Linked DNA regions of Callithrix jacchus. The protein of the gene in region 3 interacts with the protein of the main gene of each other region in a pairwise test. Links are inferred from orthologs where the notes say so. Each region holds a gene or a part of one and is shown on either strand. Other genes may lie near its edges.

Region 1 (7,367 bases), about 60 Mb from region 3:
AACTTAATATCATAGCAGGGGCTGGGCGTGGTGGTAAGCGCCTGTAATTCCAGCTACTCAAGAGGCTGAGGTGGGCCGGGCACAGTGGCTCACACCTGTAATCCCAACACTTTGGGAGGCCAAAGCGGGCAGATCACCTGAGGTTAGGAGTTCAAGACCAGCCTGGTCAACATAGTGAAACCCTGTCTCTATCAAAAATACAAAAATTAGCCAGGCGTGGTGGTGGGCACCTGTAATCCCAGCTACTAGGAAGGGTGAGGCAGGAGAATTGCTTGAACTAGGCAGGCGGAAGCTGCAGTAAGCCAAGATCTCGCCACTGCACTCTGGCCTGGGCAACAGAGCGAGACTCTGTCTCAAAAAAAAAAAAAAAAAGAGGCTGAGGCAGGAGGATTCCCTGAAGCCAGGAGTTTGAGAGCAACCTGGGCAACATAGTGAGACCCATCTCTAAAATTAATTAATAAAATGAAATAAACATAACAAGGAAAAAAGCCACCAGCCAAAGAAGAATGACAGACACTTGCACGCTCTGCCTTTGCCCTGTGAGGCCAGTGCAGAAGGGGTGAGGGGGACTTGTAGGACTCCCTCCAAGGCAGCAATTTGAGGGTGGCATTTGGAGGCCTGGGGACGGTCCCCACATCACCAACCAGTCTGCCAGGTGTCCCACTGTCTCCACCTCGGCTGCACAGGGCTCTGGCACGACCAAGGTGAAAACTGCAAAGATTCCACCCACAGCCACCAACCATCGCCAAGCCCGCAATCCTAAACCTTACCAGCATTGCTGATAACCTGCTAGGTTATATCTGCTAGGGCAGTCAGCACTGCCTGCACCAGGAAAGGCTGCCCAGAAGCCCCAGGGGACCCCCATCCTCCTGTGGTCTCTCCGCTCCTCCCAAGGGCTCCACAAAGTTCACAGCCTGGCTGGTCCTGGGGCAGCAGGAACTGCCCTCCCATGTGGGAAGCCCATGCAAAGCACTGCTCTCAGGACCACAGGCAGGTGGGAACCACGTATCCTCCGCTTTAAACATCTGCTTAAGGAAAACTGTTTAGCAAAAGAACACAACAAAGAGACCGAGCTATCTCTGTGCACAGAAGAAATCCTGAGGGGAGGAAAGAAGGCTAATGCCTTCCAGGGGTTTGGGAGCCCTGCTCCCACCGAATACCGGTGCTAGCCCTGCCCTGGAGCAGGCAGCCCTCTTCCCCACTTCATCACATCGGCTAACGGGGGGTTCCCAGGCCAGTTATCAGAAGACCCACGCAGAAACACACTATCAAGGTCCTTCCCACTCCCATGAAGAAAAGGAGCATTCCACGCTTTGGGGAAAAACAGTGAAAGTCCCAAACACACAGAAGCATCAGGGCTCAGAAGAAGAACATGAGACCCTCTTAGAAATGAGCGCTTTAAAGGTGGCCTTCCTCAAAAGGCCCCTCTGCTGGCCTCACCAGGCCCTGAGAAGACCCACCTCTGTTTGCTGGAGGTCTCTTCAGCCTTGGGCCGCCAGCCCCACGGCACCAGCTGCAGGTTGTCCAGGCGATTGTCCACAGTCACTGCGTTGAGGTGCACCACCTGGAAGCCCGGGGCCACGCCCCCCCGGTGCCGCTCCCTAGAAACAGACAGTGCCCTGCATTGCCGCCTCCCACCCTCACGGGTATTTCTGATCAGGCATCAAAGTCCTTTCAGGAAGAAGTATCGGCCATGTGATCTGATCAGGCCCTGCTCCTACAGATGAGGGTGCTTCAGACAGAAACTGCCAAGAGGAATCCAAGCACCTGGTCTGTGGCCCAAACAGGACAGGGACACAGAGAGGACCTGGCCCCTGGACTTAGGAGCAGAGTTAAGGCTGGAACCCAAAACCACCTGAGCAGACGGACTCAAGACAGCTCCCATCTGAGTGGCCCCTACCATGCACACTGGGGGGCTCAGTGAAGACCCAGCAAGGGGAGCAACCCCACTCTCCCTCCAGAAGCCACCGGTCCTGGGCAAGCGCCCAGCAGAAAGTCCACTTGGTGTCTGAAGTGCAATATACAAATCATTCGTTCCTCTAGGTTAGTGACAAAGGACACAAAAATAAATGCGAAATTCAGGGAAGGCAAGGCAGGGCCTCGGCGGGGCAGGGGGCTCCAGGCACCCTGTGCCATCAGAGCTCACCCAGGAGCCCTGTGGCAGGGGGCAGAGGCAGCTTTGAAACACCCACCACAGCAGCTCATGAAGGAGTCTCCCAGAGCCCCTTCCTCGGTTCTTGTCAAAGGCATAGGCAAATATCTTAGCGCCATTTCCGTCAGCATCTACTTCCATTCGGGCCTGAGAAGGAACAAGGAAAAGAGCTATTAAAAAGGCTCCAATTCTCAGCAACACCTCAAATCCCTCTTAGAAAACCCACGTGAAACAGGCAAGCCTGAGGGACAAATGCCAGCCCTGTCCCTGAGACCCTGGGGAGTGTGGCGCTTCCCACAGGCACATGGCCCCAGGCCCAGTGTGTCCCCCCACCATGCTTCTATTCAATACATTTTCCTACCCTTAAAAAAAGCCCACAGTGCAGTAAGATGGAGATACCCCTTGACAAGTCACGACTGCGAATGTGTGGGGCGCAGAGATAAAGCGTGGTGAGGGAGGCCGAGCTCAGTGGCAGGAACGGAAGCTGGGAAGAGGCAGGAAGACCCCATGAGAGCAGAGAACGGGAGGCAGCTGGGCAACCTGGAGGGGCTGCTAGGGCAGGCCAAGCATAGGTGGCCAGCTGTAAGGAGCAGGGTCATCCAAGCTAACAGACACGGCCCACGTGACAGGATTACAAACGTGAGAACACACTATTTGCTTTCAAGAAGGGCTGGCAGACAGGGTGAAAGTGAGGGAAGGCCGTGTCATCAGGCTGCAAGGGCTCTGGTGGCAGCGACAGCCAGGGTCTGCAGGCCCACCGCTGGATGTGGCAGCTGAGGGCTCAGGGCTCACAGGTTGGCACCAGATATCCACTTGTGGGGCCGCCTGCTCTTGCAGCACAGGGGACAGAGCTCCTCATGACTCTCCTGAGCACTGACCACAAGCATCAGGGGAGGGAACAGCCATCCTCACTCACCTCAAAGGAGTAGCTCTCCACCAGCGGGATGTCCTGCTCATCGATCAGCGTGTATTTGGTCTGGAAAGTAACCACGTTTCAAACCATTACATTTGGGATCCTGAAGTGCAGCAGCCTTATAACCCATAACAGGCAGGAGCCTGCTGCATTTTCTTGTGAAGTAGGAAGTAACCACAGGCCTCTTCAGAGGAAGGCAGCTCAGCACGTGGGGGTCTCATTCTGCAGTTTGGGGTCGTGCAGCCTGTGCAAAAACGCAGGCAGACCGGTGACAAGCCAGCTGCCCACTTTAGTCTGTGCCAGAGGAGCCGGTATCAGGCCCCATCCTCGCAGGCCTAACCCAACAGTGGCACCCAACATTTAACGCACCGATACACTTAGGCAGAGGCGAACTCACTGGGCTGAGGGAGGGGCCTGGACGGAGGCAGAAAAGCCAGGTTTTGATTAGGGTGTGTTTATTAAGCTGAAGTACTCACTGAATTCCCCTTTTTAGCTTTCTGTCCACCCAAAATGTTCCAAAGAAAAGCTATAAGGGATAACAATGCCATCAGTGGCAGAGTTGGAAGGGGTCTCGGGTCTTCGACCTGACTGGGGAGCCCACCCTTCCCCGGTGGGAAAGCCTCCTCCACAGTAGGCCCTACCTATGCTCTTGGAGCAGGGGCAGGAAACAGAAACAGCTCCAGGAACCGACCAGTCTCTCTCTCGACGTTTTTTTTTTTTCTGGGATCTGAACCTGTTTGACCTGACGCCGCCTGCCACTGCCTCCACTCCTCTCTCCCACCAGAAAAGCTGCAGCCACTGGTGATGGGAACAGGGCTCCTATCCAGGCAAGAACCTGGCTGGTGCAGCTGCACAGGTGGCTCCAGAAACCGCCAAGCCTCAGTGCCTACAGGTGGCATGGAAGCCCCGGCCCCAATCGTGAAACGTGAGGACCGGTACGGAGAAGTAGGGGAAGGCCCTGAGTCTGCAGCATCAGGACCCAGGCTCCTGCCTCTCTGCTCTAAGCCTGAGGCTCAGCCTACCTTGGCCAAGGCCTGGCAGCGTTAAAACGAGCCCGAAGCCCTGCTGCGAACTGGGAGGCACGGAAGAGCCCACACCAGACCCGCCTCGGCGAGAGGTGTGGAGGTGGCGCTGCCTCGAAAGGGCGCTGTGTTTAAACCGTGTGGCCGCTCCAGCAGCCCGGACACCGCACTAGGCCCCGGCTCGCCGGCACCACGGGGAGGGCTCCGGATGAACACCGGCCGGGCTCAAGTCAGGCATCTCCGCACCTGGCTCGAGACAGGGCCGTGGCTTCCACCTGCGGCAGGGCAGGGCCGAGGGCGGCCAGGTGCGCCCCGGAGCCGAGGTGCGTGCCCACCGGCCTTGCGGGAGGAAGCTGCACCCGCGCGGGGCCGGCAGTCGGGCCCGCGCAGCGCCCCCCACCCCGCCGGGGCTCATCCCGGGCTCCGCGCCCCCGCCCCGGCCGCCGCCCGCACAACCGCCCCCGGCTCCGCGCGGAGGCCAGGACGGGCAAGATGGGCCGGGCCGGGCCGCGCACTCCGCGCCGCTCACCTTTCCGGCCACCCGGCCGAGCCGCACGATGCCCAATTTGAAGTCGGTCATGGCCGGGCCTGCGCTCTTGGCCGGCAGCGCCGCTCCCTCGGGAGGCGCCGGGCGGGGGCCGGGCGAGGCCGCGGCGCGCCGGGGCAGGACAGGACCGCAGCCGGGGTCGGGGTCGCAGCCAGGCGGGCCCCGGGCGGGACGAGGCTGGGCCGGGCTCGGGCCGCCGCCGCCGCCGCCGCCGCCGCCTCGCGCCCGCCGGACCTGCCACGCGCCGTCGCCGCTACCGCCGCCGCCACCGCGCGCACCACCGCGAGCGGAGCGGAGGGGCGGGGCGCGGCCCGGGACACACCCCCCGGCCCGCCGCCGCTCTACCAATCGGGAGGCGCGCACGGCGCCGGTCGGCGCGCGCCGCTCTGTAACAACCAATGGGAGGAGGGAGAGGGCGCCGGCGCGCTGAGGAGCGAGGCGAGCGCGGGGGAGGGGCGAGGCCGGGGGCGGTGCCTGCGCGCGCCGACGTCAGTTTCGCGGGAAGCTTTGTGCGGGTGGCGGCGCCGCGCCCGGAGGGGCCATGCGCGCCGCGGCCCGGGACTCGCGCCGGGCCCGTGGAGCTCTGCGAGCCGGCCGCCCTTCGCCTCCCTCGCCGTCGCCCCCGTATGCTGTTTCCCGCCACCGTCCTGGCCCCGACTGCGGAAGGAGGAGGCGGACGGAGCGCGTGCGGGGCCCGCTGAGCGGGAGGGGAGCGGGCGAGGCGGGCCAGGAAGAGGCTGCTGCCTCGGGACGCGGGAGTGCCTGGAGATACCGCGGACCCCTGGCCCACGCGACCCGGAGGGCGGCTGGCCGCCGGAGCAGCCTGGTCTAAGGCGTCAGGAAACGGAACTCCAGAGGCCGTGGTGGTCCCAGACTCCAGTGAGGCCCGTTAGGCTCCGGGGAAAGCCGAGACCCGCTCAGGGAGGCCGGGAGCGCAGTGGTGGGCAGCGTGGCCTGCCCTGCAGCCTGGAGCGAACGGGGCCGGATGCTGCGTCCTGCTCCGCGGTGTCCAGTCGCCGCCGGCAGCCCTCACCCTGCTTCAGGGGCGACTCCGGCACCTGAGGAGCTGCACAGGCCTCTTTCTGGCTTGCTGGCTTCTGTCTTCTAACCCCCCGACTTTTTTTTTTTTTCTTTTGAAACAGAATCTTGCTCTGTCACCCAGGCTGGAGGGCAGTGGCACAATCTCCGCTCAATGCAACCTCTGCCTCCCGAGTTCAAGAGATTCTCCTGCTTCAGCTTCTCAAGTAGCTGGGATTCCAGGCATGCACCACCACGTCTGGCTAATTTTTGTATTTTTAGTAGAGACAGGGTTTTGCAGTGTTGGTCAGGCTGGTCTTGAACTCCCGACCTCAGCTGATCCTCCGGCCTCGGCCTCCCAAAGTGCTGGTATTACAGGCGTGAGCCACCATGCCCAGCCTGCAAAAGGTTTTCATGAATCAGCCCAGACGTTCCACCTCTAGGTCCCCTGGTACTTGCCAGTACCCCCAGGCACCCTAGAGAAGAGAAGGGGCTGCCTGAGACACACATCCGGGTTCAGGCGAAGCCTAGCTCAAAACATACCTGTCCTACTTTATAGAGTTCCCAGGGTGTGATGAGGTTATGAGCAACTGCTTTGTGAAAAGACGTGGGGCCACACAGACGAGCTTGATGAGTCCTCCCTAGGGTAGTTGAAAAGCACTGGTGTCCCCAAGCCCAGTAGTTCATACCTATAATCTCAGAAGTCGGGAGTTTGAGACCAGCCTGACCAACATGGAAAAACCCCATCTCTACTAAAAATACAAAAATTAGCCAGGTGTGGTGGAGTGCGCCTGTAATCTCAGCTACTTGGGAGGCTGAAGCAGGAGAATCACTTGAACCCGGGAGGCAGAGGTTGCTGTGAGCCAAGATCGAGCCACGGCACTTCAGCCTGGGTGACAGAGAGAGGCTCTGTCTCAAAAAAAATGAATAAATAAAAAAGTAGCTGCCGTGGTGGCGCATGCCTGTAATCCCAGCTACTCCGGGGAGACATCCCAGGAGAATCGCTTGAACCTGGGAGACAAGTTCGCAGTGAACCAAGAAAGTCCAAATTGTTAGCTTGAGAGAAGACACTAGCAAGAGACTGGGGGTGTGAGGCAGTAAGGGGCTGCTACCAGTCCAGTGACTGTGGCAGGAGGTCGTGTAGGAACCATCCTCAGAGTCCCTCCCCGAGGGCCAGGGGAGCCAAGGCATTCATCCCCTCACCTTGCTGCAGGGGAACCCAGCATTCACCCCTCACCTTGCAGTCATTGCTTGGAGGCTGCTGCGGACAAGGTGACTTCTTGGCTTCGAAGCTGAGAAAGACATGCAGGTCTTGACACAGCGCAGTGCTGTGGGCAGTGCCCAGCTGGCTTGGGAACTCGTACCTGGCCCCCCACAAGCAGGCTGCTTTATCGACATATTGTACTGAAGTATGAATGTGGCACCCTGCCTCTGTGTCCTGCGAGGGTGGAATTATGAAACACTGGGGTGGCGCTTCCTATCACTACGGCATCCCGCTCCTGTGGCCATGCACCTTAAACCGAAGCCCTTGGCCCCACGTCCCTTTCCAGCCACTGCCTCATTTTCCTGCTTCCTGTCCCAGCAAAAGTTGTGACAGGTTGTCTATACTTGCTGTCTCAGTTCGTTTTGTATGGCTTCATAACTACCACAAATGCAGTGGTACAAAAGAGCACACACTCTCACAGTTCTGCATTAGAAGTGCAGGTGGATTTGACT
Region 2 (7,518 bases), on a different chromosome or scaffold from region 3:
TAAGCTTGTTTTCCCATCTAATTACATGAGATGCTACTACTTCCTACCTCCTAAGGTTGTTGTCAGGCTTAAATGTGATGATAATTGTAAAGCACCTGGCAGATAATAAATACTCAGAAAATGGTAGCTATCAGTATTTTTACTGTTAGCGTCCTCTCTCATACTGCGGCCAGATAGCAGGTTTACAAGTAGGTCTGGATCAAGGAGCCGAACTGGAATTTTTTTTTTGTTTTGAGACAGAGCCTTGCTCTGTTGCCCAGGCTGGAGTGCAGTGGTGCGATCTCGGCTCACTGCACCTCCGCCTCCCGGGTTCAAGAGATTCTCCTGCCTCAGCTTCCCAAGTAGCTGGGACTACAGGCGTGCACCACCAGATGCAGCTAATTTTTGCATTTTTAGTAGAGACGGGATTTTTAGCCGCATTAGCCAGGGTAGTCTCAATCTCTTGACCTTGTGGTCTGCTCACCTTGGCCTTCCAAAGTGCTGGGATTACAGGTGTGAGCCACCGCACCTGGCTAGGACTGGAATTTTTAAATAGAGATGGGGTCTCAATATGTTGCCCAGGCTGGTCTCAAACTTCTGGGCTCAAGCTATCCTCTTGCCCTGGCTTCCTCTGGCGAAAGTGCTAGGATTACAGGCGTGAGTCACCATGACCAGCCCAGATTTTTTTTTTTTTTTTGAGACAGGGTCTCACTCTGTCACCCAGGCTGGAGTGCAGTAATGCGATCTTGGCTCACTGCAATCTCCGTCTCCAGGGTTCAAGAGATTCTCCTGCCTCAGCCTCCGGAATAGCTAGGATTACAGGAGCACACCACCATGCTAAGCTAATTTTTGTATTTTTAGTAGAGACAGAGTTTTGTGATACTGGCCAGCCTGGCTCAGCCTTTTTTTTTTTTTGAGTTGGAGTCTCACTCTGTTGCCAGGGCTGGAGTGCAGTGGCACAATCATGGCTCATGGAAGCCTCAAACTTCTGAGCTCGGCCAGGTGAGGTGGCTCATGCCTGTAATCCCAGCACTTTGGGAGGCCAAAGTGGTTGGATCACCTGAAGTCAGGAGTTCAAGACCAGCTGGTCAACATGGTAAAATCCCATCTCTACTAAAAAGACAAAAATTAACAGGGCATGGTGGTGGGCACCTGTAATCACAGCTATTCCGGAGGCTGAGGCAGGAGAAATGCTTGAACCCTGGAGGCCTAAGTTGCAGTGAGGCAAGATTGTGTCATTGCACTCCAGCCTGGTCGAAAAGAGCAAAATTCTGTCTCAAAAAACAAAAAAGTAACTTCTGGGTTCAAGCAAACCACCTGCCTCAGCCTCCTGAGAAGTTGGGACTACAGCCATGTGCCATCATGCTCAGCTAGGTTTTTCTATTTTTTGTAGAGATGGGTGTCTCACTGTGTTGCCCAGGCTGGTCTTTTAACTCCTGGCCTCAAATGATCCTCCAGCTTCAGCCTCGCAAAGTGCTAGGGTTACAGGCATGAGCCATTGTGCCCAGCCTGTTCTGAAATTTGACCTGGACATTCTCAGTGTAGGCTCAGGAAGAGAACAGGAGGCCCCAGGCCCATGGGACTTGCAGAAGACACCAGTGGGGCCAGTGTCCTGGTCACTCCAGCCTGGTCATCAGCCTGACTCTAGTAAGCATGAATCTGAGATCTCTCACACAGGTCCACGGGTGTTAGACACCTGCATGCTGCTTTGCCACTCGAAAAGTTCATGCCTATCCCATCTCATCAGATCTCACAAAAGGCAGGAAGGACGGAGTATCATTCCTTCCTGCCTTTTGTGTTATTCCTTCCTGCTTTTTGTGTAAAATGTATCCCCATTTTACAATTGAGGAACAGAGCAGGGTCATGCCCAAGATCACTCAGGTATCAGGACCCAGATCCCCTGCCTCCCAGCCCAGAGCTCTGCTGTCTCCCTAAAAATGCTGCCCTGGTGATGAAGGAGATGGTCAGCTTTTAAGGGCAGGGTGACAGGAGATGCAGCAGAGCCTGGCTCTTCTCCCTAGCTGCTAGCCCTGTGATTGGAAGGCACCCAGAAGCCTTTCCAATGACCCATGCCAACCATTCAACCCTTCTGTCCCCCACCCCCAACACACCCACTGTCCAGGAGGACCCTGGCCAGGTCCCACAGCTGTGAGTCAGGATCAGAACAGACCCCTCCCCCACCTTCTAGAAGCTGACAGGAGACTTGAAGGGAGAAATTCAACTCCCCCAACCCTCACCCTCTGCAAGCAGGCACCAGCCCCAAGCTCTGCTCTCCCCCATGGGGCCTGAAAGTCAGAGAAGTTTAGGGAAGGGGGTTGGGGAGCAGGATCCCGAAGCTGCTCTGAGGACAGGAGAGGAACAGTTCATTCACCCCAGTCCCCCAGGGCTGAGGCAGCCCGTCCAAGATTTGAGTTTAAAAATAAGTTAGGGCTGTCCTGGTGGCTGTGTGTGTACGCACGGGGCTCTTCTTGATCTAGAACTTACTGTCTCCGGGCCTCTGCCTCCTGAGGGATCAGTGGGCTCAGAGTTTCTGTGTCCCCAATGGTTCAGGCCTGGGTATGTCAGGGGCTGTCTTGGAAGCTGTCAGCCCACCTAGGTCTCTCTGCCTCCATTAAGTCTCTGTCTCTGCTCCACTGAGCATGTCAGTCTGGGCACACTTCAGCTGCTGTCTTTAGGTTTTGGACGGCCCTGTATCTTGACTGGCTGTCCCCCCATGGGCCCATGCCTCTGTGGATCTCAAGTCTTGGTCTCTTCTTGTCTACACGGCTGAATATCTCAATGCCTACTACCTCCCTTTCTCTGTCTCTGCATCCAGGTCTCTTTCGCCATCTCTGCATACCTGAATGTCTCTGTCTTTAGTCTCTTGGTGTCTCTGCAGGCCTCAGAGAGCAGACTCAGCATGATGCCACTGACACCCACGCCGCAGGGCACCTCCAAGGCCCAGAGAAGGGCCCTAGCAATGTGTTCGCTGGGGTTCTACGTAAGCTTTTTCTGAAAATGCTCCACAAAGCCTGGGTCGGCCCCCATGCCTCTGGTCTGTCCACCGGTAACTCCGTACGCCCAGTGTGTCCTTGTTTCAATGATCTCGATAGCCTCCTGTGCCTCGAGTCCCTGCCTGTCTCGGTCTCTCGCTCCACCAGGCTTTCCGAGAACCTCAGTTTCTCCAGCGCTCCTGCTCGGTCTGTCTCTCTCTGGCTTTTCTATTTCAAACTTAGCCCCCCTCCCCCGCCCAACTCTCGCTGCCGCCCCCGCCCCTGTCCCGCCGGGCAGCCCGGAGGGGTCCAGTCCGGGCAGGCGGTCTCCCGGGCTCGGCGTGTCCCGGGCGCCCGCCGCCAGAGCCCAGCGGGGACAGGGGGCCGGGGCCGCGGCTGGCCTCAGCCCTCCGTGGGTCCGCTCGCTCCCCGGCCCGGGCGAGGGGGAGGACGGCCGGGGCTGGGAGCCGGGGTCGGCGTGGCGCTCACCTCGAAGCGGGCGGCGGGCGGCGGGCGGCGGGAGCGGGGCGCGCGGGGCGCGGGCGGGGCCGGGAACCGGGCGCCGCGTTCCTCGGCGGCTCCTACCTGCGGGCCGGGCCGAGCGGGGGCCGAGCGAGCTGCCGGCGAGGCTGCCGACTGCAGGCGGACCGTGTGGGCGAGTGGGAGAGCGGCCCCAACCCCTCCCCGAGGAAGTCCGCGCCGGCCTGCCCCGCCCGGACCCCGCCCCCGGCCCCCCAGCCCGCCGCGGGGGCCAGACCCCGCCCCCACCTCCCTTTCGGCCGCTTGCCGGCCCGGCCCCCTCCTCCCTCCCGGCCTAACCTGGCTCTCCCAACCTTCGGGCAGCCGGGAACCAGCCCCTGTCCTCTCCCCGCAGCCGCTGCTGTCCTCCCCTCCCACCCCCATCCCCAGCTGCCAGAGGGAGACTGCTGTATTCCATCTCAGGCCGGCGGCACCAGACCCCGCAGACCACAGTCCATTGGGGAAAAGACTTCTGGCCCCCTCGGATCTCCCCGCAACCCCAACCTTAGCCCTAGGGGTGACACTCAGCCCGGCCTTAATCCAGGCTGGAGGAGGAGGTTTTGACTCTGCTGTCTTGAGGCTGTCAGCGGGTACCAAGGTGTTCTCTGAAAACATGGGGCAAAGAGAGGACCCTTCCCCACCATAGGGCCTTGACCTTCAAAGGGTTTTATTCCACAACTTTGAGTGACAAAAACAGGGTAACCACCTCCCCATCTCCAGCAGCCTCCTGACACTGAGAAGTCCTGCTTTGCCTGGGTTTCCGCAGTGCCCAGGAATAGTTTTGACCTTTGAAGCTCCGGGGAGACCCTAATCCTTGGCCCCATGATCTTTGGCTTCTAGGGAGAGGTGTGAGGAGTGTGAGAAGATGGGGCGCCACAGGGGTGGTGGAGGAGAGCGGAGGGGACCTCTGTAGTGTCTGAACCGCTGGCTTCCTTCCTCCCTGTGTCTGTGAGGAAGGACTGGCGCCTGCTAGGGACACGAGGCCCCTCTAGGTCCTTGAGGCTACCCACCCCCCATCCTCAGGCTTGTCACTAGGAATAAATAGCCTTGGTCTGGAAGGGTGGGGAGGGAGGGAGGCAGGAGGCTCTACTGTGTTGTTTGGGGAAACAAGAGACAGCAAACCAACCCCGGAATAACCTTAGCATCTAGAGTGAAGATTCAGGTGCACAGAGACCTCCCCACACCCCAGACTGGGTGCAGCTGAGCTCTCAAGGAGGAACTAACACCCTCCCAGGCTGGGGCTCCTGAGAACCCTTCCCTCCCATTTCTGTGTCATGCCTGGGTTCCTGGGTCCCAAGTCACCTTCCAGGCCTGGTTTCCTTTCAAAATTAAATCATTGCTTGTTTATGATTGCTGTTGTTGCCTAAATGGTAAGAGCCATGAAGGCAGGACTCTTTTTTTGTTCACCACTGCCTTCTCAGTGCTTAACCCAGGGTCCGGTACATCATAAACATCTGATGACTGAATGGATGACAGACACTGCTTCAGTATGGGTGTCCCTCTAACATCCTCAGTTGGGATCACAGGCATCTGCTTTCTAGAGTCCAGGCAGTGAGCATCCAGCCCATGGATGGGGCCTTTCTCTGGGATTTTTTTTTTTTTTTTTTTTTTTTTTTTGAGACAGAGTCTCGCTCTGCTGCCCAGGCTGGAGGGCAGTGGCGTGATCTTGGCTCACTACAACCTCCACCTTCCAGGTTCAAGCAATTTTTCTGCCTCAGCCTCCCAAGTAGCTGGGACTAAAGGTGCATGCCACCACGCCGGGCTAATTTTTTTATATTCTTAGCAGAGACGGGGTTTTACCATATTGGCTAGGCTGGTCTTGAACTCCTGACCTCATTATCTGCCTGCCTCAACCTCCCAAAGTGCTGGGGCCACAGGTGTGAGCCACTGCACCTGGCCTCTCTGGGATTTATCTGGCAGGTGTAAGAAACTCCCAGCCCAGGGCAAAGCAGTGAAGAGTACTCAGTCTTGGTAGAGTGGGTACCAAGAGGAGGTCAGCTCTGGGCTGATGGGAGGGCAAAGGTGGGGCCCCTTCAGAAAGCGGGAGTTTATGAGTGGGTGCAGAAGGGCCCGATGAAAGGCAGAATATTGGAATCTCTGTTCTTGATGCATGGCTCTAATCCCTCCTAACTAGTCATAACAAGAGCCAGTACTTCCTGAATTCTTTTTTTGCACCAGTCCTAAACATTTTACATATATTAACATACCTTATTATTCAAGAACTTTATTAAATATATGTATATATATTTTTTGTTTGTTTGTTTTGATACAGTGTGTTGCTCTGTCACCCAGGTTGAAGTGCAGTGGTGCAATTACAGCTCACTGTAATCTTAACCTCCTGGGCTTAACTGATCCTCCGACCTCAGTCTCCCAAGTAGCTGGGATTATAGACAGGCATGGGCCACCACACCCAGCTAATTTATTTTAATTTTTATTTTTTGTAGAAGCAGGAGTCTTATTATGTTGCCCAGGCTGGTCTTGAACTCCTGGGCTCAAGTGATTCACTTGCCTTAGCCCCACAAAGTGCTGGGATTACAGGCATGCGGCACCACGCCTGGTCTAAATATATATTTTTTATCCCCATTTTAAAGATGAGAAAATGGAGGCATAGAGAGATTAAGTAACCTGGCAAGGGCGACACAGGTAATAAGGGCAAAGTTAGGATTCAAATCCAGATTGTTGGCTGGGCATGGTAGCTCTTGCCTGTAATCCCGGCACTTTGGGAGGCTGAGGCAGGAGGACTGCTTGAGCCCAATAGTTTAGGACCAGCTCTGGCAACAAAGTGAGACCCCCGCCCCATCTTTATTTAACGAAAAATCAAATCAGCAGGGCACAGTGGCTGTAATACAGGCTGGGATCATACCTGTAATCTCAGCACTTTGGGAGGCCGGGGTGGGCAGATCACGAGGTCAAGAGTTTGAGACCAGCCTGGCCAACATGGTGAAACCCCATCTCTACTAAGAATACAAAAATTGACTGGGTGTGGTGGCACTTGCCTGTAATCCCAGTTACTCGGGAGGCTGAGGCAAGAGAATCACTTGAACCTGGGAAGCAGAGGTTGCAGCAAGCCAAGATCGCACCATTGCACTGCAGCCTGGGCGACAGAGCACGACTCCATCTTGGTGGGGAGGGAAAAAATAATCATATCTAGATAGTCAGATGTCATAGCGCTTATGCCAAAAATGAGCTTCACCATTAGGCTCTAGTATCTGTAGTCATTTTATCTCTGTAAACCTCAGTCTTCTTGCTGTGAAAAGTGAATGACTGCCTCACAGCATTGTTGTAAGGATTGGATGAGAGCACATAATAGGCTGTTAATATGTGGGGACAGTCCCCCTTTCATGGTCAAATGTTAAGGTTCGGCTGCTTAGCCTTGGAGTCTGGGGGTCAGAGAGTTAGCTCTCTGGCTTGGGCCCACCTGGGCTAGGGAAACCAGCCTAGGGGCAAGCTGCCCACAGGGAAGCTGTGTCTCCCCGTCTCAATTTCCACTCCCCAGTGGGCTCACATTTCCCTGCTCACTCTATTTTCGCTGGCCCAGGAGGATGTGCCCCAGGAAAGTCCTGGGATCAGCCACATGGACTCCCTGTTCCTGTTCCCTATCTATGCGCCCCACCCCCGCCTTGGGAAACAGGTGTGTCTGAACTGGAGCTGGAAGCAGAGCCCGGGAGCTGGACAACTGGCCTTGGGTGAGTAGAAGCCTGTTGTTCCTCTGTCACCCTGGAGGTCCCCATGTACTCTTCTTTATCTTGTTCTTAGGATACCCCTGCTATTTTTTTTTACCCTGCAAGGATTTTTAAAAGAAGGCTCTGGGTGGCTACTGACAGGCCTCTCATGGTTTCCTCTGGGTGGTGAATCACTCTGTGATGCCTGTAACCACAGGCCTCCTTCCCCCTAGTGCGAACACAGGCTTTCTTCTCTGGGTGTATTGCTGACTCTTATACTGGCTGCCTACAGCCCTTGCAGGCCTCAAGACTTAGCAGATAACCTCTTCCAAATTGCCCAGATGCCTTCTTTTATTTTTATTTTTATTTCCCTGAGAGTGAATCTT
Region 3 (6,867 bases):
AGAACTCAAACAGATTTACAGGAAAAAAACAAACAAGCCCATTCAAAAGTGGGCAAAGGATATGAACAGATACTTTACGAAAGAAGACATATATGAGGCCAACAATCATATGAAAAAATGCTCATCGTCACTGGTCATCAGAGAGATGCAAATCAAAACCACATTGAGATACCATCTCACGCCAGTTAGAATGGCGATCATTAAAAAATCTGGAGACAACAGATGCTGGAGAGGATGTGGAGAAAAAGGAACACTTTTACACTGTTGGTGGGAGTGTAAATTAGTTCAACCATTGTGGAAGACGGTGTGGCGATTCCTCAAGGCCTTAGAAATAGAAATTCCATTTGACCCAGCAATCCCATTACTGGGTATATATCCAAAAGACTATAAATCGTTCTACTATAAGGACACATGTACACGAATGTTCATTGCAGCACTGTTTACAATAGCAAAGACCTGGAATCAACCCAAATGCCCATTGATAATAGACTGGATTGGAAAAATGTGGCACATATACACCATGGAATATTATACAGCAATCAGGAATGATGAGTTTGTGTCGTTTGTAGGGACATGGATGAATCTGGAGAACATCATCCTCAGCAAACTGACACAAGAACAGAAAATGAAACACCGCATATTCTCACTCATAGGTGGGTGATGAAAAAAGAGAACACATGGACACCGAAAGGGGAGTACTAAACACTGGGGTCTATTGGGGGGAAAAGGGGAGGGCCAGTGGGAGGGGGAGGTGGGGAGGGATAGCCTGGGGAGAAATGCCAAATGTGGGTGAAGGGGAGAAGAAAAGCAAAGCACACTGCCATGTGTGTACCTTCGCAACTGTCTTGCATGCTCTGCTCATGTACCCCAAAACCTAAAATCCAATAAAAAATTAAAAAAAAAATCAGTCCAGTGTGAAAATGGGAAAACAATTATATGCCATTCATTAAGGTAGCTAAGTTGGAAAACACCAGCATGGAGTTTTTGCTGATTTGCTGGTGCCTGATGATGAGAGGGACCCCAACTGGATTGTGAAGATTGTCTTTGGGCACACACAACATTGATAAACTGCCTTCACTTAGTTTTCACAGCTTTAACAGCTGCCTTAGTTCAGCTGTAAGTAGCAAGTAAATAAGTTTCATTTATTACCATGCATGTAAAATGGAAAAGCTCATTGTCAATTATAACTGCTAGATACTGTCTATCATTTGTTCAGTTCATTCATCGCTAGGCATAAAGTTTATATAAGCATTCACTTATACTCAGTCTTTCATTGAAGAAATGTTTACTGAATGTGCCAGTATGAATTCTGTAAACATTTATTGAATGAAAAATTCAGGATATGCTGTATAGAGATGTATATCATGTACAGTGAACAGTGGACAAGGTTGAAAAAGGTCCTGAGTGTGACAGATGCGGCAGACAATAAACAAACTCACCAGCAGATATGCCAGTCATGGATAGCTGCAAGTGATGGGGCAGGCACATGCAGGGTGATGGGAGAAAATATGTGCACACCCAGGGAAGAGTGGTGGGGAGAGGGGATGCAGTGGCGGGGCGGATCCTGGGTATAAGATGATCCCAGACCTGGGAAAGTCTTTCTAAAACTGTAATAACTGAAATGAGACCTAAAAGAATAAAGGAGGGAGACTTTCCATGTGAAGGTGGTTTCACATAGTCAGTGGTGGTTGTTGGACTCAGAACTGAGGTGATTTTGCTTTGATTGATATCATTTATGTACAATGATGATATTCTGAGTTGACCAAGGAGCCAACCAGTTAGAAAAGACCCTGGCTGGCCCCATTGGAGAGCCTTAGAGCACCCTGTTAGGTGAATAGTAAGCCCTGAATTCTTGGGTTGATGGGAGACCACAGGGGAGGACCTGGGGCAGCTGGGTGGCACTTGGAGTGCTTGGGACATAGCTATTTCTTTATTATAGTACAGAAATATTTCCATGCTTACACAGGCAATGTGGCATGTGTAACAGCTTGTGTGTAATTCTGTGATCCAAGGAATTTTTATTAACCAATTGTAGTTACAGACCACTTTTATTTTCTGCCACTTCACATAGTTTACTGGAAAAAAGCAAGGGTTGAATTCTGGTTTTCAGTGTTGGCTGTCATAAGATTTTACGGTCTGAATCACATATGGTGGAGTACTCTTATCGAACTGGATGTATTCCTCCCAAGAAGGTAACCAAGCTAACTCTGTGTCTTTTGCAGGCGGCATCACTGTCCACATCTCCCTACCAAGATTTACGATCAAACAGAGAAACCATGTCTTCTCTCCGAATATACCGAGAACTACCCTCTCTATCACACTTACTTGCCCAGAGAGTCCTTCAAGCCAAGGCGGGAGTACCAGAAAGGGTCTGTACCAATGGAAGGCCTGACTACATCAAGGTGAGGGCAAACAGTATTAATATATGCAGGTACATCCAACACTAATGTAGGAACGTGCAGTGCTTAATGTATAATATTAATGTAATAATGTACAGTGCTAATGCATTAATGTACAGTATCAACATATGGTATTAATGCCTTAATGTAGTATATAGCTGAAAGAAAATCCTGCATTTATGAGCCTTCTCAATTTTTCCCAAATCCTCTGTTAAAGAGAAAGGATTCTTGGGGGAAGGCTGGATTGATATAATAAAGGATTGGAGGTTAAGAAAAATATTTATGGGATGGAAAGAGTGGAGGGGGGATGTTGCCGAAAAGCAAGTTTTGGGCTTTGTTACATGAAAAGCTCCAGACCAGGTTGGGTAGGTTGGGGGTAGGGGGGTGAAAGAGAACTTGACAATAGAGAAAAAGTGAGGTTTTTTTTTTTCTTAAAATTATGCTGCACATTTTGAATTGGGGTTCTCCTGAATATTCTTCAAGAAATAATTTTTTTTCCTTTTAAATTATTCTTGACTCCCAAACTCAGAATGTTTAGCTCTAGGTCTGTGCAGTGGCTGAGCCACATGGCTCAGTACATTAGTATTGCAGAGGTCTTTGCACTGAGGTGGTGCAGAAAAATTCTCAGTTCAGGGTTGTTCTATAGGCAAGGCTCTCAGAGAATCTGCCATGGGCAGCTTAGTTAGTGACCTGTGACTGGTGATCTAGTAGATCAGAAACATCTTTGAGTGTGATTGAGCAGTCTCAGATTGTATAGTTTTGTCCTCAGCTGAGACCTGAAAGACTGATGTGTTCTCAGCCCTGAAGGGCAGGGTTGCCATGAGGTGGAGATGATGGTGAATGTTAAGTGTTCCAGCACAAAGCTTGCACATTGGTGCCCAAGACCTGGTGACTTTTCTTCCTATTGCTGCCCTTTTGCCTGATAATTTTGTGCTAATAAAGGCCCCAGATGGTGTAGGAGAAGCAGAACCATTCTAACTCATTCTGCCTTCAGGTTTTCTCCAGAATAGGACTGGAAACATCTGTTGAGATTGTGAGTTGGAGGTTCTCTGTACACAACACTGCTATCTTCTAGATCCATGAGCAGTCCATGTCTGGGTGTTGGGGCAGGAGCAACCACAATGGGAGAAACAAAGCCAAAGGATTCCTGAGCTTCATGGGAACCACTGTGCTGGGGCTTGAGAATGAGAGGGAGTTGAGGGCCTTGTCTCATGCTTGATTTGTATCAGGCCACTTTGTTGTTGTTGTTTTTTTCAAAAAACCAAGGTCTCCCTCTATAGCCATGGCTAGAGTGCAATGATGTGATCATAGCTCACTGACGGCAGCCTCGAATTTCTGGGCTCAAGTGATCCTCCCGCCTCAGTTTCCTAGTAACTGGGATTATAGGCATGGGCCATCATGTCCAACTACTTTTTAAACTTTTTGTAGAAACAAGAATTTGCTATATTGCCAAGGCCAGATGATTACGTTTATTCTAAGCATTTATCTTAAATGATTTGGTTTAAGCACAGTGTTTCTGGGTCCTGATGTATTAACAAATTATAATTTACACAGCTGTTTTTTTCAACCTATGACTTATTAAAGAATATAAACCCTAAAGTTTGGGCTTCTTTTTGCCAGGAAAACAGTATTCTTTGTCTCTGAGAGTCTAAAGACCATAATGAGAAGCGTGAACCATTTCTGAGCATTGGTTTTCTTTTATGAAACCCTGGTCAACACCAAGTAAGAGTCATAAGCACATGTACAAGAGACATGTAACTGGTAGGAAAGGACAAGAGTAGCACTGAAATGTGGCTTGCAAATATCATGTTCAGTCTCCAGGTGTGGGTCTTTTTATCTTTCAATTTCCAGTTTGCAGGAAATGAACACTTTGTGAAATGTCTAGTTGGCTTCAGGCATTGGTATATTTCCTATCCTGAAAGTACAGACAAGGATGCTTTAAAAGTTTGTTGTTGTAGGTTGTTTTGTTAGTTGCCCACAAGCTTAGGAGAATGAGGACAAACCCTTAGTCCTGTGGCTGAAGTCTCGCCCCAACACCTAGCTCGGAGGCCCCCAGATGCAGCTCCTTGCCCTGCGTCCTCCTGATGGTGCTTTGCAAAACAAAAACTTACCCTGTGACCTGTCCTAAATTATCCTTGCCTTGTGTTACTTACAACAATAAACATATCACCCAGAAGGGCCCTCTGCCCCTGCCAGAGCTGGAGTAACGATATATATCATGTACATCAAGTGTGGCTAAAGCAGAGGAAAGCAGATTCTGAAAGAATTTCCAAAATAAGCCATTAATGAACATAAGGGCCTTAAAAAGAAAAAAGTGGTGGGATCAAGGTTATCCATGGGGAGAAAAAAGAGCAGATATGAAATTCTTTTTATTTCCTACCCTAAAAAGAGAAGTAAGGAGGAAATGAGCAGAAGACATCTATGTTCTCCTTTCTACCACAATTTCATTAATTCTCAATCCTGTGCCTGCCATGCTGGGCACTATTTTTCATAGACCGAGAACAAAATTATGCCACTCTCAGGAAATATAGGGAAGCTAGTATCTGGGTGTTCCCCTGGAGGCTTACAGGGGAAGGGATGTGTCAGCCCAGTCTCTCCACACCCCTGTATCTGCACGGATTGTCACCCTTCTACTCTTAAGACTCATTACTGGAACATCCTGCTCACTTCTTCATCTAAACATTGACTCTGCTTAGTTTCTGAGGTTGGATATAGGGCTCCCACCTGCTGAATGAAAAAGTCATGTGGTCCAGGGCTTGGCTGGGTTTGGTGATTAAGCCCAGACACAAAAAAACACCTGGTTTCTGGAAAGGTTATCATCTCAGCGTGAGGCATGATTACAGCTGCACACAACTCTTACTGGCCATAAATCTTGGGGATTTACAGCAGGTGCCATGAGGGGAATGCTTGTGATTTCCAACCATTCTTAGTGTGAAATGGTTTCTTGCAATCCTTGATAATTCTCTGGTATAGAATCTGCCTTTAGTTCAGATAGACCTGAGATCAATTTATGAATAAGAGGTTTGCACTTCAAGCCTCATTTCCCCATAGGCATGTTACCATGTGAAACACTTGGACCCCAATTTGAGACATTCTGTTAGCTAAGCCAGCTCCTAAAGATGGGCAAAATGAAAAGCATTAGAAGAAAGAGGTGAGTCTTCAGTGCTGTTAGATCTTTATCCTAAAGGGAGAGGGACCATGGGTGGAGTGGAATGGCGGCACAGAGTGAGGAGACAGAATTGAGTTCGGATTTGATGGGTGTGGCTGAAAGGCAGAGGGCAGGGAATTGGCAGCATCAACTCTGTCACTTAGTGACAAGACTCCTTGGTAAACCAAAGAGAGTAAGGGAGGGAAGAGCTGAGAGAGAAAAGGCATTTGGTATCCTTTCCAAAGGTCAGGAAAGAAGCAAGGAAGTTGGTAGCAGGCTTGTCTCTTGTGCTGCCTATTGAATTTTATATATTTTTTGTTCAAATACATACTTGAGTCTCCTACTCAGAGCTGTACCACTGGGGTATACTTAGCCTCCATAGCCTGGGCTTGAGAATCAGTGTGAACACAGGGCAGATAGAGTTCTCAGCACTGGACTTGCTTAGGTAATCTCAGAGCCTTTGAATTGTCTATAATGTATTTCTGATTAAATTTGCAGACATTTTGGTCATTATTTCTTCCAGTAATTTTTCTTTCCCTGATGCTCTGTTCATTCCCCCCGCCACTGCCCAATCTTTTCTTCCCCTTCTCTGTTCTTCAGATTGGATAGTTTCTGTTAATCTAGTTTTCACTTCACCAAGTTTTTCTCCCTTATCTCCATTTGGTGATTAAGCCCAGCCAGTGAATGTTCTGTTTCACATATTTTGCAGTTTTATAATTTGCATTTGATTCTTTTTAATACAGTTTCTACTTCTCTTACCTGATTTCCTGTCTTTTATTTTATTATGACCTTACGTTGCTTTCCTTGTTGAGCATGGTTTAAAAAGCTGTAAAATTTTTGTCTGCTAATTGCAAATGTCTGGTCTGCCTGGAGTTGGTCTCCATAAGTGTCTTTGCATTCCCCTGAAGAGTGTTTTTATCTTTGGCAGGCAGGTTATTTGATTGTTGAAAATGCACACTCTGTGTCTTGGGTGGCAGCTCCAATCTCATTTGAGTTCTTTAGCTTGAAATCTACCCCATACATGTGAGGTCATGCAGAGATTTGGGCCCAGTTTATGTATTGAGGCTTCCTGTCTTTTGCTCTCTCATTTTCAGGTTTCTTTCTTCATTTTCCAGCATCTGTGGTTGCCTCAAACTTAGTCCTCTGGTTTTATAGTCAAGAAAAGATAATCAAGAAAGATTCATCTTTTAGCTGCCCTACCTGACACAGACTGGAGCTGACCTTCAATCTGGAAGCTTTGAATCTTTCATAGTTAATGGAAAATAATCAGCAAAGCCTCACACAGTGCCATTTTCTGCTTCCACCTGTTGGCTCTCCCCA
Region 4 (7,556 bases), on a different chromosome or scaffold from region 3:
CTTGAACACCAACAACTATTATCTCTCTAATTCAGAGCTTCATTTTATTTTAAATCTGGAATCCAAATTAGTCTTATTCCAGATACTTTATGAAAACGTTTTTCTTTATTCCCGCTTTATTTTGGGGAGCCAAGAGACTTCCTTATTTCATCTTACAAAATGTTGGGTTTTAGAAATATCCCAAAGAGAACAAAGAGAAGCGAGGCAGCTCTTGTCCTTAAGTCATTACCTAGCCCTCAACACATTTAGCATGTTTTCTGGTACCTTGGAAGAAATCTTATCACTTTCCATCTCCGTATTGTTCACATTCCTTCCCACCTGTAATGTTCTCAGCCTCTGCTAATTCCTCCTTTCATCCAGGTGCCATGCCCCTTGCTCTGTAAACTTTATCCCAAGTATTCAAAAACATCCATAGATTTTTGCCCTCAATGCCTGCAGCATTCATTTATATCATTCAAACCATGCTGCCCATTGCATATGGCAAGAGGGTTGCTCTTTTGCCATTCAAGTCTAAAGCCAACTGGATTGGAACGTACTGGAAAGAAAGACAAAGGCCAGGTGTGGAGGCTCATGCCTGTAATCCCAACACTTTGGGAGGCCAAGGTGAGCAGATCACCTGAGGTCAGGAATTCAAGACCAGCCTGGCCCACATGGTGAAACCCCATCTCTACTAAAAATACAAAAATTAGCTGGGTGTGGTGGTAAGTGCCTGTAATCCCAGCTACTCGGGAGGCTGAGGCACAAGAATTGCTTGAACCTGGAAGATGGAGGTTGCCATGAGCCGGATTGCACCACTGCACTCCAGTCTGGGCAACAGAGTGAGATTCCATCTCAAAACAAACAAACAAACAAAAAATCCCAATAACGACAAAAAGACATTATCTTTAACTTGGTTGCACCCTCAGCAATGAATAGCACAGTTCTAAGCTTCAGTTTCCTTCTCCAAAAATAGGAGTAACGATAAAATTAATAGTAACACTTGCCTATAGGGCTGTTGTGTTAAATGAGCTAAAACATAGTTCCTGGATATAATGGTCATTCAATAAATTTTAACTCTTTTTTTTTAGTTGGGGTCTTGTTTTCTTGCCCAGGCTGTTTTCTAACTCCTGGGCTCAAGCAATTGTCTCCCTTCAGCCTCCCAAACTAGCCATTATTCTTAATAGGCTAAATCATTCTGGTTGGTTATTTACAATTTTTATAATTGGTGGTAATAATTAGAGTGTTTTACGTTTGCATAGAATTTTGCATTACTAAAACTTTTATAATCAGTTTTAGTGTAGAACATTTAGTAAACTATTTAATATGTAGAGAAAAATATAAAATTACTACTAATCATATCCTTCAGAAATGATTATTTTATATATTTTGGTGTATTTTTTCAGTTCATATATTATGAATATTGCTTTGTATTGAGAGCTTTAAAAATTGAAAGTTCTATGTAAACTTTATTTTTGATGGTTGCCTATATTCCATACTATGGCTATATTATATTTTATTTAACCATACTCCACTTTTGAGCCATTGCACTGTTTATTGGTTTTAGTTATTACATATTACATATATACACACACACACACACACACACACACACACACACAATGTTTTTATGTAACCCATTGTGTCTTCATCTTAACCATTTCATCTTCTTATAAAGGATACGACTTGAAGTAGAATATTCAAATAATGTCATTTTCTATTTTGTGTTCATATGAAACCATGGGCTAATATTTTGAAATTAGTTTAGATTTAGCTGCACAGAACCAAGCCCAGGGAAAAAGCACTATGATGGCTTTTACTTAATATGAAAATAGATGGTTGCCACAGACGCTTCAGATACCATCTAGACATGCTTATTCTTTAAAGACCAGAATAACAGCACTTTGGCAGGCAGAGGCAGGCGGACCACCTGGAGTCAGGAGTTCGTGATCAGCCTGGCCAACATGGCAAAACACTGTCTCTGCTAAAACTATGAAAATTAGCAGGGTGTGGTGGTACATGCCTGTAGTTCCAGCTACTTGGGAGGCTGAGGCAGGAGAATCACTTAAACCCGGGAGGCAGAGGTTGCAGTGAGCTGAGATTGTGCCACTGCACTCCAGTCTGGGTGACAGAGCAAGACTCTGTCTCGGAAAAAAAAAAAAGTCATAAAATAATAATAAAAGAGCAGAATGAAATTCTTGCACTTTCCTCTTAATACCTAATTGTATGCTCCCCCTTAATAAAACACATCAAGTATGTTTTATGAATTGTTGGCTTCAGATGGTTTTAGTTCAGCTTAATTTTTCAGCATTGCTCTTTAACCGCAACAAAAGTCCTGTGTTAAAATGAATTTTTATTCCTCTTTTCCCTATCTAAAATGTATCCATTAAATTCAAATAAAATCCCAAATTGTAACACATTAAATTACTCAGCACTTATGTTGGTTCTTTTCTGTTTTTCATCCATATTTTAGTGTATTAGAGACTAAGTGAGGAGGTGCTGATAAATCAATGGAATAAAAAAAAATCAGTAAACCAGATTTGTAAGGCATGGGGGGGCATGTAGATCAAGGCACAAGATGGTTGAATTTTTCATGATTCGAAAGGGACCAGTACTAGTGTAGAAATCAATTACCAGATCATACTTTGAACTGATGTTATATCGCTATATTCTAACAAAATATCTTATCTAAATCTTTATGCCCTTTGACTCTTCATCCATCCAACTATTATGAATATTTTAATATATTGACTAACCAAAATGGGTCATAACGATATATAGAGATAACCAATTTTCAAGGAATTAGATTTTGAAACAGCTGTAAGAGGCATTGACCATAAATTGGACAGAAAGCAGATTACCAAGTAATTTGATTGATGTATATATGTTTCTGTTAATTATAATTTACAGTTTCCCAAATAACTTAATGTTTTTGGATTCACCTTAAAATATCTCATAGTGGGATTAAAAAAAAAATCTATGAAGTGAATGGTTTACGTCTTTCAGTCAAAGATACCTTAGAATCAATAAATAATTAAAATCAACAATAAATTGCAAGAATAGTTATCTTTTGAGTAATAAGAGTATATATAATTTTCCATTTTCTTCTTGTTGCTGGTCTGTATTTTTTATAGTAAACGTAGATTATTTGTAGAGTAAAAAAAGAAAATGTAAGCACTCAATATAATTTTAACTCATTCTTTGGTGGAGAGAGAATGAATTAAAATCAGTCTCTGGGCCATGTATTGTAAATATGAAATATTTTAGAGATCAGTGGAAAGTGTGTCCATCCCTGTGCTTCAGGTCATGGGAATGCAGTGAGAGGCATGGCTTGGCCTAGCCTCGGGGATCTGAAATCAATGGAGAACTCTGGAAGCTCTAAATAGAACAATGAGACTTAAAAGTAAGAAATGTTCTAAAAGACAGGTGATGGGTGAGCAGTCTGGGAACCCTGTGTTGGAAAATATGCAACTTTTCATGGAAGTTATATTTTAAAATATTTTTAATATAAGAAAAAGCCTCCAAAATGTAATCATTTGAGTCGATTAGTCAGCTACTCAATTAAATATAAAAACTTGGGTCAGAATGATCTCAACATATAATAAACCTTATTCCAGCCCATCCTGGATACCCCAAAACCCTGATTTGATCATTACACATTCTGTGTATGTACTGAACTACTCACATGTACCCCATACATATGTAAATTCTATTCATGTATCAATAAAATTGTAAAAGCCTAGCAATAAAATAAAATTCAAATAATATTCTTCAAGAAACAAATAAAACAATGAAAATAAACTTACATACAGCAAATATGAGCTACAACAGCGTTAACCTGTAATGCAGGTATTTATTAACACTCTTCGGACTTCAGAATAATTTAGAAACAAAAACTGGACTGACAACTTTTTCTTTTCTTTTTAGATTAGACTTGATAAAGTGTCTTGCATGGAGTCTGGCTAGAAGATATTTATATAGATGATGTCTATTATCATATATATGTCACCCTATCAGTATTGAGATTATTACACAATTGGCCAGGGCGTTACTCAGGACTGTACATCCTAGAGTTTGCCCTGCTCTGGAAATTGTAAAATATTCATGCATTTCCTTTTTAAAGCATGCAACAGCTCTCTGGACTTTCAAACCATCAGCCACTAAGAGTCATGTTGTATAAACACACTTTCCCAGAGTAATCAGACTCATCAGTAATTTGCCATTTCAGCCCAGGCTTTCCGGAAATTCTGTCAGGGAGAAAAAGTTCAAGTGCACTGTGGTTTTCCCCGTTTCCAATGTTTATAATATTTCTTCTTTTGCTTTCCCCTTAAAAAATGTTTTCTGGTGTTCAAAATGGATTCCCACTGAGTGGAGGCAGGGGCTCAATTTCATTTAAACCTCTCCTCATTCCCAATGAGCAGGGTTCTCTATCTTCAAGCCAAGGACCCTGTATCTTTGGGCAGGGTGGCTTCCGTTCCTGGGCTTTGCCATTGGTAGGAGCCAGCAGCCAGCACCACCTGCATTTCTGCTGGGGTCAGTGAGCTCCCAGTGCCTGAGAGCTTCCTCCCAGGCCTGGGACGCTCCCTGTGCATGGAGCAAGATGCCTACACAACTGCTGTCCAAGCCTGCTGCAGAGTTAGGCTGGGAAGGATGGCAAGGGTAAGAGAAGGGCATGGGGAACCAGTGGTCCTTACCTGCAGTGTCAGGGTTCTGTCTTCTGTCCTCCAGCCCGATGAGCAGGGACAGCAGCCGTGCAGGCAGATGGCCTGGTTAGATGGCCCCAACCTTCTCTGCAGCTGCCAGCCAGCTGTGCTGCCCTTGTCAGTGGTGCTATAAATAAGGTGCATCTGGACATTGGCCAGGCTCAGGAGATAAGAACCCAGTCCCTGATTCCTACATGCCTTTTAAGGCCTCCACATTAAAGGAGCCTCGGCTCCCAGAAGGGAAAGGGCTGCCATGTCCTCATTTGTCCTGCCTGCCTCAAGGTCACCTCAGACCTCACATTTTCCAGCAACCCAAAGGGTAGCTGAAGTGGAAAGGCCACCAGTGCCAGAAAGGGACCTTACTTTGGCAAACAAGAGGTAGAACCTCCAACAGGCTGCCCAGCTGCACTTCTGTCCACCCCTCAGATTAGGTGCCTGGCATGGAGGCCCAGGAGTGGAGGGACACTTCCCCCAGGCCCCACAGCCCCTCTGTGAGCTGGGAAATGTGGATTCCTAGTGCTGCCTTCCGGAAAGAGCTCACTGACCTTCTCTTTGGCTTATGAGTTCATTTGCTTGGGTGAGAGGATGTTAGGGAAGCCCGAACAATAGGCTCAATAAATGGCAGGCATTTGGGAAGCCATGGGTGAAATACATTTGCAGAAATTTCTCTCCCTCCCTTCCTCCCTGCTCATGCATGATTATAAGGGTTTCTCGAGCCACACATTGTTTTCTCTATGAAATTAAAACAGTGAAATTCCCAGAGCCTTTTAAAAGCCATATGCTGGGAGAGGAAAGAAAACTAATTTGGGATATCAACAGCTCCTGATTCTTTTGAAATTTCTTACTTACGAGTATGCTGAAAAGGCACTCGCCCATGGCGAGGGCCAACTTCTTCCGAGGATTATTTGGTGAGAGCTGTCTGCATTACCAAAACAATTCTAGGCCTGCAGATTTATCCTGAGGAAAGAATAGTGTATATGGGCAGAGGACATTTCTTGAAGCTCTTTTTTTTTTTTTTCTCAAAATTAGGAAAAGTTGGAAACAACGTAAATAGCTCAGAAGAGGGGACTGAATAAATGAGAAATAGTATATGGGCTGGGCGAGGTGGATCACACCTGTAATCCCAGCACTTTGGGAAGCCAAGGCCGATGTCAAGACATCGAGACCATCCTGGTCAACATGGTAAAACCCCGTCTCTATGGAAAATACAAAAATTAGCTGGGCATGGTGGCGCATGCCTGTAATCCCAGCTGTTCGGGAGGCTGAGGCAGGAGAATTGCTTGAACCCAGGAGGCAGAGGTTGCAGTGAGCCAAGATTGCGCCATTGCACTCCAGCCTGGGTAACAAGAGCAAAACTCTGTCTCAAAAAAAAAAAGAGAAATAGTGTATGAAGAATCAAAACAGACAAGTCGCAGTGCTTTATGCCTATAATCTCAGCATTTTCAGAGGCCGAGTCAGGAGGATCACTCGAGCCCGGGAGTTCGAAGCTACAGCAAGTTATGATTGCATCAGCGCACTCCAGTCTGGGCAACAGAGCAAGATCCTGTCTCTAAAAGTAAAGTAAAAACAAAGCAAAACATGCTGCAATCTTTAGAAATGTCAAAGGAGAATATTTAATGATATAGGAAAAAAACATATAATATGTTGATAATAAAAAGCAAGTCATGGCTCAAGCCTGTAATCCCAACACTTTGGGAGACTGAGGCGGGTGGGTCACCTACGGTCAGGAATTTGGGACCAGCCTGGCCAACACGGTGAAACCCTGTTCCTACAAAAAATACAAAAAAAATTAGCTGGGCATGGTGGCAGGTGACTGTAATCCCAGCTACTTGGGAAGCTGAGACAGCAGAATTGTTTAACCCCAGGAGGCAGAGGTTGCAGTGAGCCAAGATCGCGGTACTGCACTCCAGCCTGGACGGCAATGGCGATTGTCCTTGAGGGAAAAAGGGTGTATGTATAATATGAAGCTATTACACACAGGTAAGCACCCTTCTCCCCCGTCCCCACACACGAACATCCTGAAAGGATATGCCACAAATATGGAAGGTGGTGATGGCTGGAGGAATGCATATGGCTGATTTATTTCTCCTTTGTCTTATATGCAATCTCTAAATTATTTACAATAATGTTGTCTTCCTTTTATAAGAAAATTAACTTCATCTAAAATCTTAGTTCTGAGAATCAGAAGACAACTTTCTATGTTTCTGCATGAATTAATCTGAGTTTATTTGAAGATTACAGTAGTCCTTGGGGTTTCCTCAGTCTTTGGGAAACCTATGTAAGGCCCGAAGCTTTTTTTCATGCCACCTTCAGTGATCTGATGCAGCTGGGCCTGTCGAATCCTCTAAGTGCCCCTGTCACAACAAAGGCAAGACAAGAGAAAGAGAAAGAAAAGAAAAGAGCACTAAAAAAAACAGAAGGAAAAGAAAAATAAACTTTATGTAATATATGTAATCATAATACATATTCTTATCACGCTGGGTCACTTTTATCTGACCTAACATGGCTCAAGTTATGCTCCGAACAGGACATTAGAAAGGCATTTAGTGGACCTTTTATTTAAAGGAAGTGCGTGTTTTAATGATTACTTTGTTTTTTAAAAATTGTTTTTAACTTAAGTAATGACCTCCCCATCTGACTGTGTGATACAGAGGAATTCTTCTTTTCCTAGAACTCATTTTCAGTGATATGTCTGATGGAAGTGAGGATTCCTCTCCCAACCTGGCTCCTGGGGCACAGAAGGCCTGAAATCCTTTAATTTCCTCTTCTGTCTACGGAGATCAGCATGGGGTTACCTACCCATGAATAGGACCTGGCCTAAGACACAGCATGAGGTAGCTTCAGTGCTTTTGTGTTGGGTCTTATTGCCAGGGGAGA

What was found.
Region 1: the proteins of SAXO1 (region 3) and ZMYND19 interact in binary tests that used the Homo sapiens proteins (3 or more experiments, as listed by UniProt). The two-hybrid records come from large-scale screens. The link is inferred for Callithrix jacchus from reciprocal best matches to the Homo sapiens genes SAXO1 and ZMYND19.
Region 2: the proteins of SAXO1 (region 3) and FHL3 interact in binary tests that used the Homo sapiens proteins (3 or more experiments, as listed by UniProt). The two-hybrid records come from large-scale screens. The link is inferred for Callithrix jacchus from reciprocal best matches to the Homo sapiens genes SAXO1 and FHL3.
Region 4: the proteins of SAXO1 (region 3) and FHL2 interact in binary tests that used the Homo sapiens proteins (3 or more experiments, as listed by UniProt). The two-hybrid records come from large-scale screens. The link is inferred for Callithrix jacchus from reciprocal best matches to the Homo sapiens genes SAXO1 and FHL2.

The regions. Positions count from the first base shown.
Region 1 is NC_133502.1:185,936,968-185,944,334, forward strand, and holds the start of ZMYND19 (zinc finger MYND domain-containing protein 19), read right to left. Parts: upstream 4,928-7,367; 5' UTR 4,668-4,927; coding exon 4,617-4,667; intron 4,451-4,616; exon of another isoform or gene 4,088-4,450; intron 3,129-4,087; coding exon 3,069-3,128; intron 2,637-3,068; coding exon 2,514-2,636; intron 2,300-2,513; coding exon 2,193-2,299; intron 1,602-2,192; coding exon 1,461-1,601; intron 1-1,460. UniProt on the Homo sapiens protein: May be involved as a regulatory molecule in GPR24/MCH-R1 signaling.
Region 2 is NC_133508.1:74,579,815-74,587,332, forward strand, and holds the start of FHL3 (four and a half LIM domains protein 3), read right to left. Parts: upstream 3,845-7,518; 5' UTR 3,771-3,844; intron 3,613-3,770; exon of another isoform or gene 3,441-3,612; intron 1-3,440. UniProt on the Homo sapiens protein: Recruited by SOX15 to FOXK1 promoters where it acts as a transcriptional coactivator of FOXK1.
Region 3 is NC_133502.1:125,549,542-125,556,408, reverse strand, and holds part of SAXO1 (stabilizer of axonemal microtubules 1), read left to right. Parts: intron 1-2,222; coding exon 2,223-2,402; intron 2,403-6,867. UniProt on the Homo sapiens protein: May play a role in the regulation of cilium length. Stabilizes microtubules at low temperature.
Region 4 is NC_133515.1:15,510,210-15,517,765, forward strand, and holds the start of FHL2 (four and a half LIM domains protein 2), read right to left. Parts: upstream 4,786-7,556; 5' UTR 4,671-4,785; intron 1-4,670. UniProt on the Homo sapiens protein: May function as a molecular transmitter linking various signaling pathways to transcriptional regulation. Negatively regulates the transcriptional repressor E4F1 and may function in cell growth.